Linked DNA regions of Arabidopsis thaliana. The protein of the gene in region 1 interacts with the protein of each later gene in a pairwise test. Each region holds a gene or a part of one and is shown on either strand. Other genes may lie near its edges.

Region 1 (7,836 bases):
TACTTTATTTCTAGAAGAACACTGAAGATCCAAAAGATGTTTATCATCAAAAAGAATCTCAATGTCCAAATGGCTTTTCCAAAAGATTGCTAAGCCACCACTTCTCCCTTGAGGTTCTATTGTATACATATAGTTATAACCAAGCCAATCAATAACTTTTGAAACAAACTCGTCAGGATTCATAGTCTCCATGAAGAATAAAATGTCCGAGATATGATTTTTTTTCATCTCCTTAAGGTGTCGAATTGTCCAAGGATTCCTCAAGCCTTGACAATTCCAACTAAGGACGCCTTACTGATCCAACGGTGGTTCACTTGGAACCACCGTATTCTTGTCTCTCTTGAAACTTTGAGCTTCTGTAATGTCTGAGGGTTTTCTTTTCCTTTTGAACACCTTTTCAAAATGAGGAGAGGCAGGAGACTGAATAACCTTATTCTTCAGAGACAGCTCATTAACTAGTTTTTCTTTCCTGAACTGAAAAGGAGTGAAATCCTGCATTATATGATGTTTAAACCCTGAAGTGGAGGAACTAGCCTCACCAACACATGTGGTAAATCCAGTACTAATGTCCAAATCTAGCATCTCAGCTAACAAAGTATTCTCTGGATGACTATCAATTGCAACAGTAGCTGATAGAGGATTTGCTGGCAAAGCATCTACCCTTCCTTTGGGAGCAATTGACTGAAAGGGAAACTCAGCCAGCCTCGGTAAAAACATCTTCTTCTGTTTGCCTTTCTCTTGTAATGATCTCACATCATGTTTGATGGAATCTAAGACTTTGGATGGGCATCTATTTTTATCATGAGTTAATCTTTGACACAAGAAACATCTCTTTCTAATCTGTTCATAGTCAAAAGAAATTGTGACAACTTCACCAGATGGAAGTTGTACCTCTTTATTGTTACGAAGTGGATTGGCGACATGAAACAAAACCCGAACACGAACATAGTCCTGAAACTGTGATTTTTCAGAGTCCATCACCACCTCCTTCACTTCCCCAATACAGCTCGTGATCTCTTTAATTGTGTCCTGAGTATAATAGTTCACCGAAATATTCCTCACTCGACCCCAGATTGGAAGAAAATTCAGATAATCAATTGGAGGATTCTCAATCCATCTATCCATGACTACACCCCAATTTATCTTCTGTCCAAACTCCAATTTTCATAATTTCTTCTAAATCTTCCTCAGATTTGAAGAAAAATTGGAATCGATCCTTTGAGAGAGCAACACCTCTAACCCGAGAAGAAATTCTCCAAATTCGTGGCATATCTAATATCCAATTAGACATCCTTTGATTCTCTAGATTCAAAAACCTACCCAACTAACGACAGTTGTTTCTGTTAATTGAACAAAAGCGCGGTTGATCAGAAAGAATCAGAGGCTTATTGTCTTAAATCGACATATTCTGAATGGCTTTATCCAGCTCCATGATGAGATCCTGATAGAGAGTAAACAACTTTCCCGAACTCGTCAAACCTGATTTGCAGGAAACAAACTCCAAGAGAAAAAACAGTGAAGAAATCCGAGTAATTCAGATGATAACCAACACAGAACTGAGAATCACAAAGCAAACTCTCGTAACAGAGAAAGAGTCAGAACTACCAAAAATCCGAGGAAGAAAACAACAATTTAGACCGGACCGAACACGTAAATATTTCTGGTAGAAGCTCCGTTCAGAATAGAACACCTGAGAGAAAAGTCTTTAGGCTCCAAATTAACTGGGACGACTATTGTTTTAACGGCTAGTTTCAGCTACTAAGAGAAAGAAGAGAGAGAAAAACTTTTTGTCAAACTCTTTTTGTGAACTCCTTTTCTTAGATGACAACACTTATGAGAAAAAAAAAAAAAAATTAGTTTTGACGAGACACGGACATAAAAAAAAAAACTAGGGCAGAGTGACTGATACCAAAGGAGAAACAACAAAGAGACGAACTGAAGAAAAACCTCTCGGAAGAAGATGAGCAATTGGAAAACTCTTCTCCTTCGCATCGGCGAAAAGGGACCTGAGTACGGCACTTCCTCCGACTACAAAGACCACATCGTCAGTATCTCTCTCTCGATTCATCCTCGCTCTTAAACCCTAATTTTCTCACTACTCAAAACTTTTCCGATTCTCTATATACAGGAGACTTGTTTCGGTGTCATTCGTAGAGAAATCGAGCGTTCTGGAGATCAAGTTTTGCCTGTAAGTGACTTCGAGCCTTCAATTTTAGGATCTGTTGTGATGTATCTCTGTGGATATTATTATTGTGTGTTCTCATTATTTTTGTTTTCGTCTTAACAGTTTCTACTACAATGTGCTGAACAATTGCCTCATAAGATTCCTTTGTATGGGACTTTGGTAAGTCTCTTATAAACTAGTTACCTTGGCTTTTTCATTTCTGGGTATGTGTTGGATGTTGGGCTTGCATTTAGATGTGTTATATATGTGGAGGTTTTGATTGAGTATGTTATGGTATCTGTGAACTGATTCTTATCGAAGAATAATTAGCTCGAAGCAATAACGGAAGGCATTTAACTTGAAACAAATGAACACTTCAGAAACACAAATAATAGTGGAAATGCCCTTAAGGTGGATCATTTTGTGTCTATTATATCATATATAACATGTTGTAGGAATCTATTTATTCATAGTATTCATCAATATTTGCTAACTTCTGAGTAATAAAGAATGCTTGAATATTTTCTGTGTATAATTCTTATCTGTGTAAGTAGCATTTGGATCTATTTTTGAACTGAGATACCCTGTTCCCTGTTATAAATTAGTTCGATTTAATCTGATACACATACTTCGAAGTTTGATGGATGTCTTTCCACATGTTTAAGATTGGTTTGTTGAACTTGGAGAATGAAGATTTTGTCCAGAAGCTAGTAGAAAGTGTCCACGCTAATTTCCAGGTGAATAATCTAATCTGTACATCAAAGGCCAAGGATAAATTGATAACATAAGTTTTCTCAGTTACTTTTGTTTCTAATGTGACTGTTTTTCTTGGTCAAACATGCCAGGTCGCTTTAGATTCTGGCAACTGCAACAGTATCCGTATATTGCTTCGCTTTATGACTTCCCTGGTATGGTTGCTAATCATGTTTCATGGTTGCTTCGTCTATTTAATATGTTAGTTCATGTTTCTAATACACAGAAAGCGTCTAAAAAATAAAAGTGCGAAGTATATAGAACAGTATTTGTGAAAATTTTGAGATGTTTTGTCTATTTTCTAACATGTTTTAGTTGGGTTCTTTAGTTGTGCAGTAAGGTTATTCAACCTGCTTCTTTGATTGTCGTCTTCGAAACATTGCTATCATCTGCTGCCACTACTGTGGATGAAGAGAAAGGAAATCCATCATGGCAGCCACAAGCTGACTTTTACGTTATATGCATCTTGTCCAGCCTCCCGTGGGGAGGATCAGAACTCGCTGAGGTACTGCTCTTGGACTAAATACATTCTAGAAATTATTTACATTGAAGGCTATTAGAATACTGGATATGCGTTTCCAATTTTATAATGATGTCATCCTTGTTGGATCTGCAACCAACTTTGTTAGTCTGCTTTCATATCTATTATCTTAACTTGTATGGCCGCTGAATTTCCCTTTGGTTTGCAGCAAGTTCCTGATGAGATTGAAAGAGTGTTAGTTGGGATACAAGCTTATTTGAGCATCCGAAAGAATTCTTCCACCTCTGGGTTAAACTTTTTTCACAACGGAGAATTTGAAAGCAGCCTTGCAGAGAAGGTTTGCCTTTTAGTGTTTAATTCTTGAAGTTGTTGTATTTGCTTTGTGTTAGCTGCCCCTCTGATTTTGTTTCGGTAGATGTCTTGGCAAATGTATAAATAAGATGCATGGATGTGACGTTTCATTTCTGCTTTTGTTTGAGATAGATATCTGTTGAATTTTGTATCATGGTGTGATAACTTTTGGTCTGCGTCATTCGTCTTTCTCATTTGTGTCTCGTTAGGATTTCGTGGAGGATCTATTGGATCGAATTCAGTCTCTGGCTTCCAATGGATGGAAACTTGAAAGCGGTATGCTTATTTTGTCAACTTCTCATATCTCTTTGTATTACAAGATTGCAATCTTCTACGAACCCTCTCTTTTAATATCCTTATCTACCTTGTTTGACTTACAAATTGATCAGTTCATATGACTAGAGATATTAGTTGTATATTACAATTGACAATTTCATGCATATTCAATGTGCTAGTACCTAGGCCTCATCTCTCGTTTGAAGCTCAACTCGTTGCTGGAAAGTTTCATGAGCTACGTCCCATTAAATGTATGGAACAACCGAGTCCACCTTCTGATCATTCGAGGGCATACAGTGGCAAGCAAAAGCATGATGCATTGACGAGATATCCCCAGAGAATTCGTAGGTTGAATATATTTCCAGCTAATAAAATGGAGGTAATATTCTGGTTTTTGATGTCATTGTTTATCTGAATAGGACATATTTCATGCTAATGGAAGCTTATTATACTTGCTACCTTTTCAGTCGTCAACATTTTTCTTTTTTCTAACCTATTATATTTGTAGATTGATATATGGGTTATATGGTGTCCTTTTGTATTCCTTTTCTTTGTCTACCCTTTCTTCTGATTCTGTAACTATCAAACTCGCAGGATGTACAACCAATTGATCGTTTTGTCGTGGAGGAGTATTTGCTGGATGTGCTCTTCTATTTGAATGGATGGTGTGTATTTTCCCAAAGCTTGTGTTCTTTTGACGTTTTTGTATGTTTCTTCTATATTTTTCTTGCACAGTGGTCGTCCATTCATGCTGGTTTTGGTGTAGATCTTGGTTTTTGTCCCCCAACCATAGCAAATTAGTCACGTGTTTTCTAAATTATTAACCTTAGAGTATGGTGTATTAATCTAAGTTCATGACTTACTCTTTGAATAATATGGTCACTGATTCAGCTGGGCGACTAATTGGCTACTACTAAGGGCTAGTGTTTTTGCGTTGAGTATCTAGTTGAACCTAGCATATACTTATTTAAGTCATTATTATGGTTGTAGACTTGCCTAGCATATACATGTTTTCTAATCAACATCTTAGCTTATGCTAAGTCTCTTTCTTTCTGGTTACTAAATTTTGTTTGCCTTCTTAAATTATATAGAATTTTGTTTCACTAATTAATTTATTGCAAAGCTAGTCGGAAGGAGTGTGCATCCTACATGGCTAATCTTCCTGTTACATTTCGGTACGAGTATCTTATGGCAGAGACACTATTTTCTCAGGTAACTTCTGTTGTATAAATTTTGGGATTATCTCTCTAGTGAGTATTCACGTTGTAATATAAAAGCATACGTTTCTGGCAGATTATACCAATTAATTCCAAGATCTGTGATTTTTAAATATAACAATTGTATCTACTGTTTTTCAGATACTGCTGCTACCCCAGCCACCATTCAAGACTCTTTATTATACACTCGTGATTATGGATCTTTGTAAGGTACAAAGGATTATACTGTTCATCCGATGGTTTTTAAATCCCTGCTGTTATTTCTTTTTTCAACCTGATTCCAAATATTCAATTAATTTAGGCTCTTCCGGGTGCCTTTCCTGCTGTTGTTGCTGGCGCTGTTCGTGCACTATTTGAGAAAATATCCGACTTAGACATGGAATCCAGGACGCGTCTTATCCTCTGGTTTTCTCACCACTTGTAAGTATATAATTTCATATTTCTTACCTCTTGATTTTTTGTAATCTGGAAAAGGTGCTTTATTGTCGAATGTTTGGTGAATGTTCCATATATGTTAGAAAGTTACCTAGCTTATAAAATATGGATTATTGAAACATAAAATATGGATTTTCAGTCAGCATTACTGACGATTCGTTTACATGATACAGTGGTCGTGTTTGAGTCTTACTTTCTCGATTAATTGAGAAATATGTTATTCATCACATGAAGTTGATTACGTATTTCGTTTTGCTCTCTACTCTCATGTTGATAACTCCATGCTTAACAGATCCAACTTCCAATTCATCTGGCCGTGGGAAGAGTGGGCTTTTGTGTTGGATCTTCCCAAGTGGGCCCCTAAGCGTGTATTTGTTCAGGAGATTTTGCAAAGAGAAGTACGCTTGTCTTACTGGGATAAAATTAAGCAGGTAACAGATCGTCAGATATCCTAATAGCTGCCAAACTTAAGCATCAGATATACTTTTCTCTTAGCCTAGGGTTATTTGTCTTATTCCATTTTGTGGGGGATCAATGTTTCATCTTGTTATCCACATGGATATATCATTCCAAACTTAAGCATCAGATATCCTTCCTCAGGCTATATTGTTTTTTCTATGTGTGTCTAACAGAGCATTGAGAATGCGACTGCCCTAGAAGAATTACTTCCTCCAAAAGCTGGTCCGAATTTTATGTATTCCTTGGAAGAAGGTAAAGAGAAAACAGAAGAACAGCAATTGTCAGCCGAATTGAGCAGGAAGGTCAAGGAAAAACAAACCGCACGTGACATGATAGTGTGGATTGAAGAAACGATATATCCAGTTCATGGTTTTGAAGTTACTCTTACAATAGTTGTACAGACCTTACTTGACATCGGATCAAAAAGTTTCACTCATTTGGTCACTGTCCTGGAGCGATATGGCCAAGTATTTTCAAAGCTTTGTCCTGATAACGATAAGCAGGTGATGCTATTATCTCAAGTGAGTACATACTGGAAAAACAATGTACAAATGACGGCGGTGGCAATTGATAGGATGATGGGTTATAGACTAGTATCTAATCAGGCAATTGTTAGATGGGTGTTCTCTCCAGAAAATGTTGATCAGTTTCATGTGTCTGATCAGCCATGGGAGGTCAGTTGCGTTTTAACAGAAGTATATTTATTTTCTACACTCTGCAGAGCAAGTTTGTTTATCTTCGTAAATCTGTTTCTGTCTCTGCAGATACTTGGCAATGCTCTTAACAAGACTTATAACCGTATCTCTGATTTGAGGAAAGATATATCAAACATTACGAAAAATGTTTTGGTTGCTGAGAAAGCTTCAGCCAATGCACGAGTAGAGTTGGAGGCTGCTGAGAGCAAACTTTCCCTAGTGGAAGGTGAACCCGTTCTTGGTGAGAATCCAGCGAAGATGAAGCGTTTAAAATCAACAGTGGAGAAGACAGGGGAAGCGGAGTTATCTCTTCGGGAGTCCCTAGAGGCAAAAGAGGCTCTTCTTAACAGAGCTCTCTCTGAGACCGAGGTATTATATATTAGTTTAATGCAGCACATGATCTTATTATTTCCTTTTATCTACTAAAAGCTAATTGAGTTGACTTGTGCATAGGTTTTACTGCTCTTGCTGTTCCAAAGTTTCTTAGGTGTACTGAAGGAACGGCTCCCAGATCCAACTAAAGTGAGATCAGTGCAGGATCTAAAATCTATAGGTGCTGAAGATGACAAGCCATCTGCGATGGACGTGGACAGCGAGAATGGAAACCCAAAGAAGAGTTGCGAAGTCGGTGAGAGAGAACAGTGGTGCTTATCAACACTTGGCTATCTCACGGCATTTACAAGGCAATATGCGAGCGAGGTAAAAAATAACTTAATAGTTGGGATGTTGTTGTAAGAGCTTTAGTAGATTGAATATTGACTTGTTTCACCATGTTCTTGTAGATATGGCCTCACATGGAGAAGTTGGAGTCAGAAGTGTTCTCGGGTGAAGATGTGCATCCTCTCTTTCTCCAAGCCATATCTTCTGCACTTCAATTCCCATTACATTAATCTTCCTCTTTCAATCTCAATCAAACCTGTCTCTTTTGTTTTTTGTTATGAGATTCTGATTCTGACATCAAGTTATTAGGAAATTGAAAAGAGTCAAAAAACAAGAGTTTAAACT
Region 2 (5,071 bases), on another chromosome or scaffold:
TAGAGATATATTTATGTACAATGTTTCGAATGAAATATGTAGTAGGTGATTTAGATATATGGTTTGATAATATGTGAGTAGGTAAATGTGTCAATATCTTTTTTTAATAAATGGTTAGCAGCTTAAGAATCCAGTTTATTTTAAGAATCCAATTTGTATCAACTTAATTATCATTATATGACATATCATATTGCAAAAAGTTTTTTCTTTTTTTTTGAATCTATTGCTAAAAGATTTTGATTTGTTATTTAGATACATGGCATACAGGTTGATACACAATTTTATTTACTTTGGGAGATTTCGTTGATTTCCTGTTTTAAGAAATCAACAACAATCAACTTTATTGATGAACATTGTTTTTTTTTTTTTTTGAATAAAATGTCAAATTATATTTAAAAGAAAAAATATACTTTTTACATCAGCTTTTTTGATATTTTGATAATAAGAGAAATAGAGCTAGATCAAAAACAGAGTAAATAGAATTGAGAGAGCAAAAACAGAGTCTTCTTTCTTAGAGGATGCTATGGACGCATGTCAAACCATACTTGCAGCCCCTTCTCGAGTCGAAGATCCCCTTTCTTTTTGATTGTCGATAGCTGGTTTCTAATAGTCTTGTCTATCTGTCGGATGAGGTTTGAAGCTGAACGTGACTTCTCTCCGTGACGACGAGAATTTCTCTCCCTCCAAATGGAATGAATAGAGACTTGGAATGTGTACCTGGATAAGAAACTTTGGATGCGATCAGGCTGAGAATCAGATATGTAATTCACCACAGCAGACCATTTTGTGGAAAATCTATCTTTGTACACATTCTTTGCGATTGATGTCCAGATTTCAGAAGAATAGCAGCATTGGATATTGATGAACATTGTTGTGTAACAGCTGTAGAGGATTTCATATATGTAATATATGTTATAGTTAACTCATTTAACTCGATAAATAAAACAAATTTAGAATTATATTAACTTTTATTGAATAAGTATTTTACTTTAACACATGAATAATGGATACGTCTAACGTTATTGTCAAATGTTAATCCACACAAAAGTCACAATTTTTTTGATCCTACAACATAACACAAAAAAAGAGAAAAAATGGTATTTGAATCCCGTTACGTTACAGATACACGTATGTATGTTAGAGTATCTTCAGTGAATCTCTCAAAAATGAGTATTGGAGTAATAAAAAGTGATCTGGAGGGAACACCATAGTAGATTATGAAGCTTCAACACAGATTTAACGAGAGCTTTAACTTCGAAAATGAGTCACCTAAACCACCGCTTACAACAACGAGAAATAACTATTTCTATGTCTCCTCAGCAAAGTTCCTTATATGATTTTCTTGTCCTTAAAGAGGTATTTTCTTAAAACATTACTTTGAAGATATCTTCATAGGCAAAAATCTAGAAATTAGAAATAAAGGATGTTTAAAAATATAAAATTTAAGGTTTGCTAATGCTGAACTGTGAAATTAAAACCAACAACCACAACAAACCAAACCGGAATATCATTTAAACCAAATTAAAACTAAAGGGCGTTCAGTATTCGGATCGAATATTTCGAGTTTGTGTATTTCAGATTTAGAAGTTTAAGACCCGTTCGGGTATTTTAAAATTTTAAACCGTTCGAGTTCAGGTTTATTTAAATATTAAAATATCAAAATTTTGTATGTAAATTTATCAAATTACTTGAAAATTTCAAAAACTCTCAAAACAACACGAATAGTTTTACTTTAATATATCCAAAGTAACCTAAAATACACAAAATAACTAAAATATCCAAATATCCAAATATTTTCTGTATTTAAGTATGAATATAAATAATATATCAAATATTTGAGGTATGTTTGGATATTTGTTCAGATCGGGTTTGGGTTAGAGTTTTTCGGGTTTTGAAGTTTAGGACCCGTTGAATATTTGAAATTTTTGGATTTGGATCAGGGTTTTCGGTCGGGTTTGGGTTGGTTCGTAGGGTTCGATTATTATGTCGAGACCTAACTAAATTGAATTACAAATTGGTTTTATGGTTTAAACAAATAAAGCGAAACCGAAATAATTGAACCGAAACCAAACCGGAATTGTTATTTGATTGAACATTTTAGATGCAAAAAATTTGGGTTTTTTATTTGTTTTAATATTAAATTAATACCAACAATAATATTTGTGAATTAATTGTAACTTTGTAAGGTTTCGTAAGGTGGGCCATGAAACCGGATACTCGAGAGTCGCCGGAGTGTCCTTGCCTTCTTCTATCAGTTCTGCTTCTGCTTTAGAAATTAGGGTTCCCTTTTTGAAGAAGACGAGTGTAAGTGTCTCTCCTTCTCGATTTCTCGCTCATCTTCTTCTTCTTTCACCCCGCATAGACCTAATTTAAGCTATCCTCCTCTCTCATCATCGCAGATTCACTTCTTCTCACCGTGAAGCGATGGCTTCTTTGTTCAAGGTACATAAAGTTTAGATTTTTATCGGAAACCATTTCTGGGTTTTGCTTTTTCTAGCATAGAAAATCGAGATTCGTTAATGTTTTTAGTGAATTTAGTATCCGGGTTGTCTGGAATCTGATGGGTCTGAAGCGATTCTAATTGATTTTTGAAGTTGTTGTCTAGGGTTTGGTCTCACGATTTCATGTTTGGGGTTTTTGATTGTCAGGAGCAAGCAAAGCTATCAGCTTATCGTGATAGAAGATTTTCAGGAACACAAGAGGAGTTTGATGAAGCGCTAAGAGCATCTACAACGGTTTACATTGGCAATGTGTCTTTTTACACTACTGAAGAACAGCTTTACGAGCTTTTCTCTAGAGCTGGAGAAATCAAAAAGATCATCATGGGTTTGGATAAGAACACTAAAACACCTTGTGGCTTTTGTTTCGTCCTGTAAGCTTTCATCTTCAACAGTTTTATATGTAAGTTTCATTATGGTGGTTGCTGAGTTTTGGTTTTGTGTCTTGTTTTTATCAGGTTCTACTCTAGAGAGGATACTGAAGATGCAGTCAAGTATATAAGTGGGACTATTCTCGATGACCGGCCTATTCGTGTGGATTTTGATTGGGGATTCCAAGAAGGAAGACAATGGGGCCGTGGTAGAAGCGGTGGCCAGGTATTCATCAGATGCATCATCCTCTCTGTAATTCCCTGACCGTTTCTTTACAATTAAAAGGTCATCATGGTTTTCTAATTTCATACAGGTTCGTGATGAATACCGTACAGATTACGATCCTGATATCCTTTTAGTCCGCATAGTTATGCACTCTGTTGTTCTTGTTTAGTATACCTGTTTTGTGGTAGGAAAGATTGATTTCTCGGTTATGAATTTCCCGCCAATCCATGTGTTTTTTCCTTAACTCATTGATTACCTAGAGGTGGTTATGGGAAATTAGTTCAGAAGGAACTCGAAGCACAAAGGCAGCTCGTGGATTACGGTACTGGCTCATTGGGAGCTTATCCTCAAGCTGCGCCAACGAATTGTATGTTTTTTTCAACTTTCTACCAAATTTACTTGATCTTATTCCTGGTTTCATGATTTCGCACTATACTGTGGACAAATGGTGAACTAAAAGTACCATGAATGCGAGTCTTAAGTTGCTTTACTTAGAATTGTAGTGCTCAGAATAAGACTCTTTATCTTGCAAAGCATCTGCTTATTGTTTTCCCAGTTCCCTTTCGAATAGATAGTGAAAATGTGAAACAAGATATGGTCCTAGTGTTAAGTATCTTATTCAAGTCAAATTATGTGAGAATCCGTAAATAGAGCCTGCAAAACACTAGATTCCTAAATGCTTTTTGCATATGTTAATCACAGATGGAAATGGAAGGCGTGGTGGTGGAAACTATGGTCAAGGAGGACAAAATCGCCATGGAAGAGGAGGTATTTTTATCCCAAATGACATAATGCGTAGTAATAGTGTAATCCTCAGCCACAATAGCACAATTCACTGTTTTTAATGTTTTTGCAGACTACCATCGGAAACGACAAAGAGACGATGATCGCTATGGCCGCGATAACTCAAGAAGAAACACAGATCATGAGTCTAGGAGAGACACTGATAGTGACATGAGACCGGTAAATAACAAGGCCTTTTTCTTTTTCCTTACTAAACGTTTCGAGTATATTTAGTATCTGATGCTAAAACACTGTCTGCTATGGAATTTTGTGTGATTGTAACAGGAGAAGAACCCACGATTCCGTGAGAGCGGTGACTCCGATGACGATGGTGAAGATGATCGGAAGAGAAGATCTTAAAACAAAACTTTAGAAGTTGTCAATGTTGCTGAATGGTCAATGTAATCTTTAGATTGATGAGTCTGAACTCAGTTTGGGTTTTCTAGATTTTCATTACAACCTTTCTTAAGTGGTTTCGTTCAATATCAGTGTCCTCATTAACTTTTGCTCCTTGATCAACTGATATGTCATTACTAGTCTATTGGGCTAAAGTAGCCGAGTGAAGGCCCTCCATAGTACTCACTAATCACTTTGTATCATTCTTTCTCATCACATTGTACGCTTCTTACATTTCTCAAAGTATTTGTCCAAATACAGCTCCTTTATGCATTAGAAGCTTCCGAAAAAGTATTATACGAACTTACATTTATCTGATGGAGAATGAGATATAGTAACTAACTAGATCACGCATAACTCCATCGAGAGCTGCTAGTGTGTCAAAGCCAAAGATACAGCTTCAATGTCTTTCAAGAGTTGAATGTATATAAATTAACGTTATTGAGCTGCGTCTGCACAATGCTCGACAAACACAATCCATCAAACATGCCACTTTCATGCCTTCTACATTCAAGAGTAATTTAAACTTCTTACCCCAAAGTAATTGTTATTAACTTATTCTGCATCATCACTTTGGCTTTTGATTGGTAATCTCTATCGCATGGTACAATATTTAATGCTTTAATAGTTTACTAAACACAAAAGTATATCTACAACTATTCTAGTATTTTTTTGTACTATTGTATTTTTTGTACCTGTATTTTTTTTACTTCTTTCAACTATTCTAGTATTTTTAAAACTTTTTCCGCTTTTTTGTTTTTACCATTTTGTGTCACCAATCGAATCCGTTTGAATTA

The links.
Region 2: the proteins of ABH1 (region 1) and CBP20 interact in binary tests that used the Arabidopsis thaliana proteins (3 or more experiments, as listed by UniProt).

The regions. Positions count from the first base shown.
Region 1 is NC_003071.7:5,635,093-5,642,928, forward strand, and holds the start of ABH1 (ARM repeat superfamily protein), read left to right. Parts: upstream 1-1,791; 5' UTR 1,792-1,960; coding exon 1,961-2,044; intron 2,045-2,128; coding exon 2,129-2,188; intron 2,189-2,287; coding exon 2,288-2,344; intron 2,345-2,829; coding exon 2,830-2,901; intron 2,902-3,009; coding exon 3,010-3,072; intron 3,073-3,245; coding exon 3,246-3,422; intron 3,423-3,606; coding exon 3,607-3,735; intron 3,736-3,958; coding exon 3,959-4,025; intron 4,026-4,204; coding exon 4,205-4,404; intron 4,405-4,619; coding exon 4,620-4,690; intron 4,691-5,152; coding exon 5,153-5,237; intron 5,238-5,383; coding exon 5,384-5,452; intron 5,453-5,543; coding exon 5,544-5,662; intron 5,663-5,969; coding exon 5,970-6,108; intron 6,109-6,309; coding exon 6,310-6,810; intron 6,811-6,900; coding exon 6,901-7,200; intron 7,201-7,284; coding exon 7,285-7,530; intron 7,531-7,613; coding exon 7,614-7,721; 3' UTR 7,722-7,836. UniProt on the Arabidopsis thaliana protein: Component of the cap-binding complex (CBC), which binds cotranscriptionally to the 5'-cap of pre-mRNAs and is involved in various processes such as pre-mRNA splicing and RNA-mediated gene silencing (RNAi) by microRNAs (miRNAs).
Region 2 is NC_003076.8:17,801,229-17,806,299, reverse strand, and holds CBP20 (CAP-binding protein 20), read left to right. Parts: upstream 1-2,096; 5' UTR 2,097-2,304; exon of another isoform or gene 2,305-2,399; 5' UTR 2,400-2,424; coding exon 2,425-2,442; intron 2,443-2,648; coding exon 2,649-2,872; intron 2,873-2,956; coding exon 2,957-3,095; intron 3,096-3,183; coding exon 3,184-3,217; intron 3,218-3,351; coding exon 3,352-3,462; intron 3,463-3,797; coding exon 3,798-3,863; intron 3,864-3,951; coding exon 3,952-4,058; intron 4,059-4,163; coding exon 4,164-4,238; 3' UTR 4,239-4,563; downstream 4,564-5,071.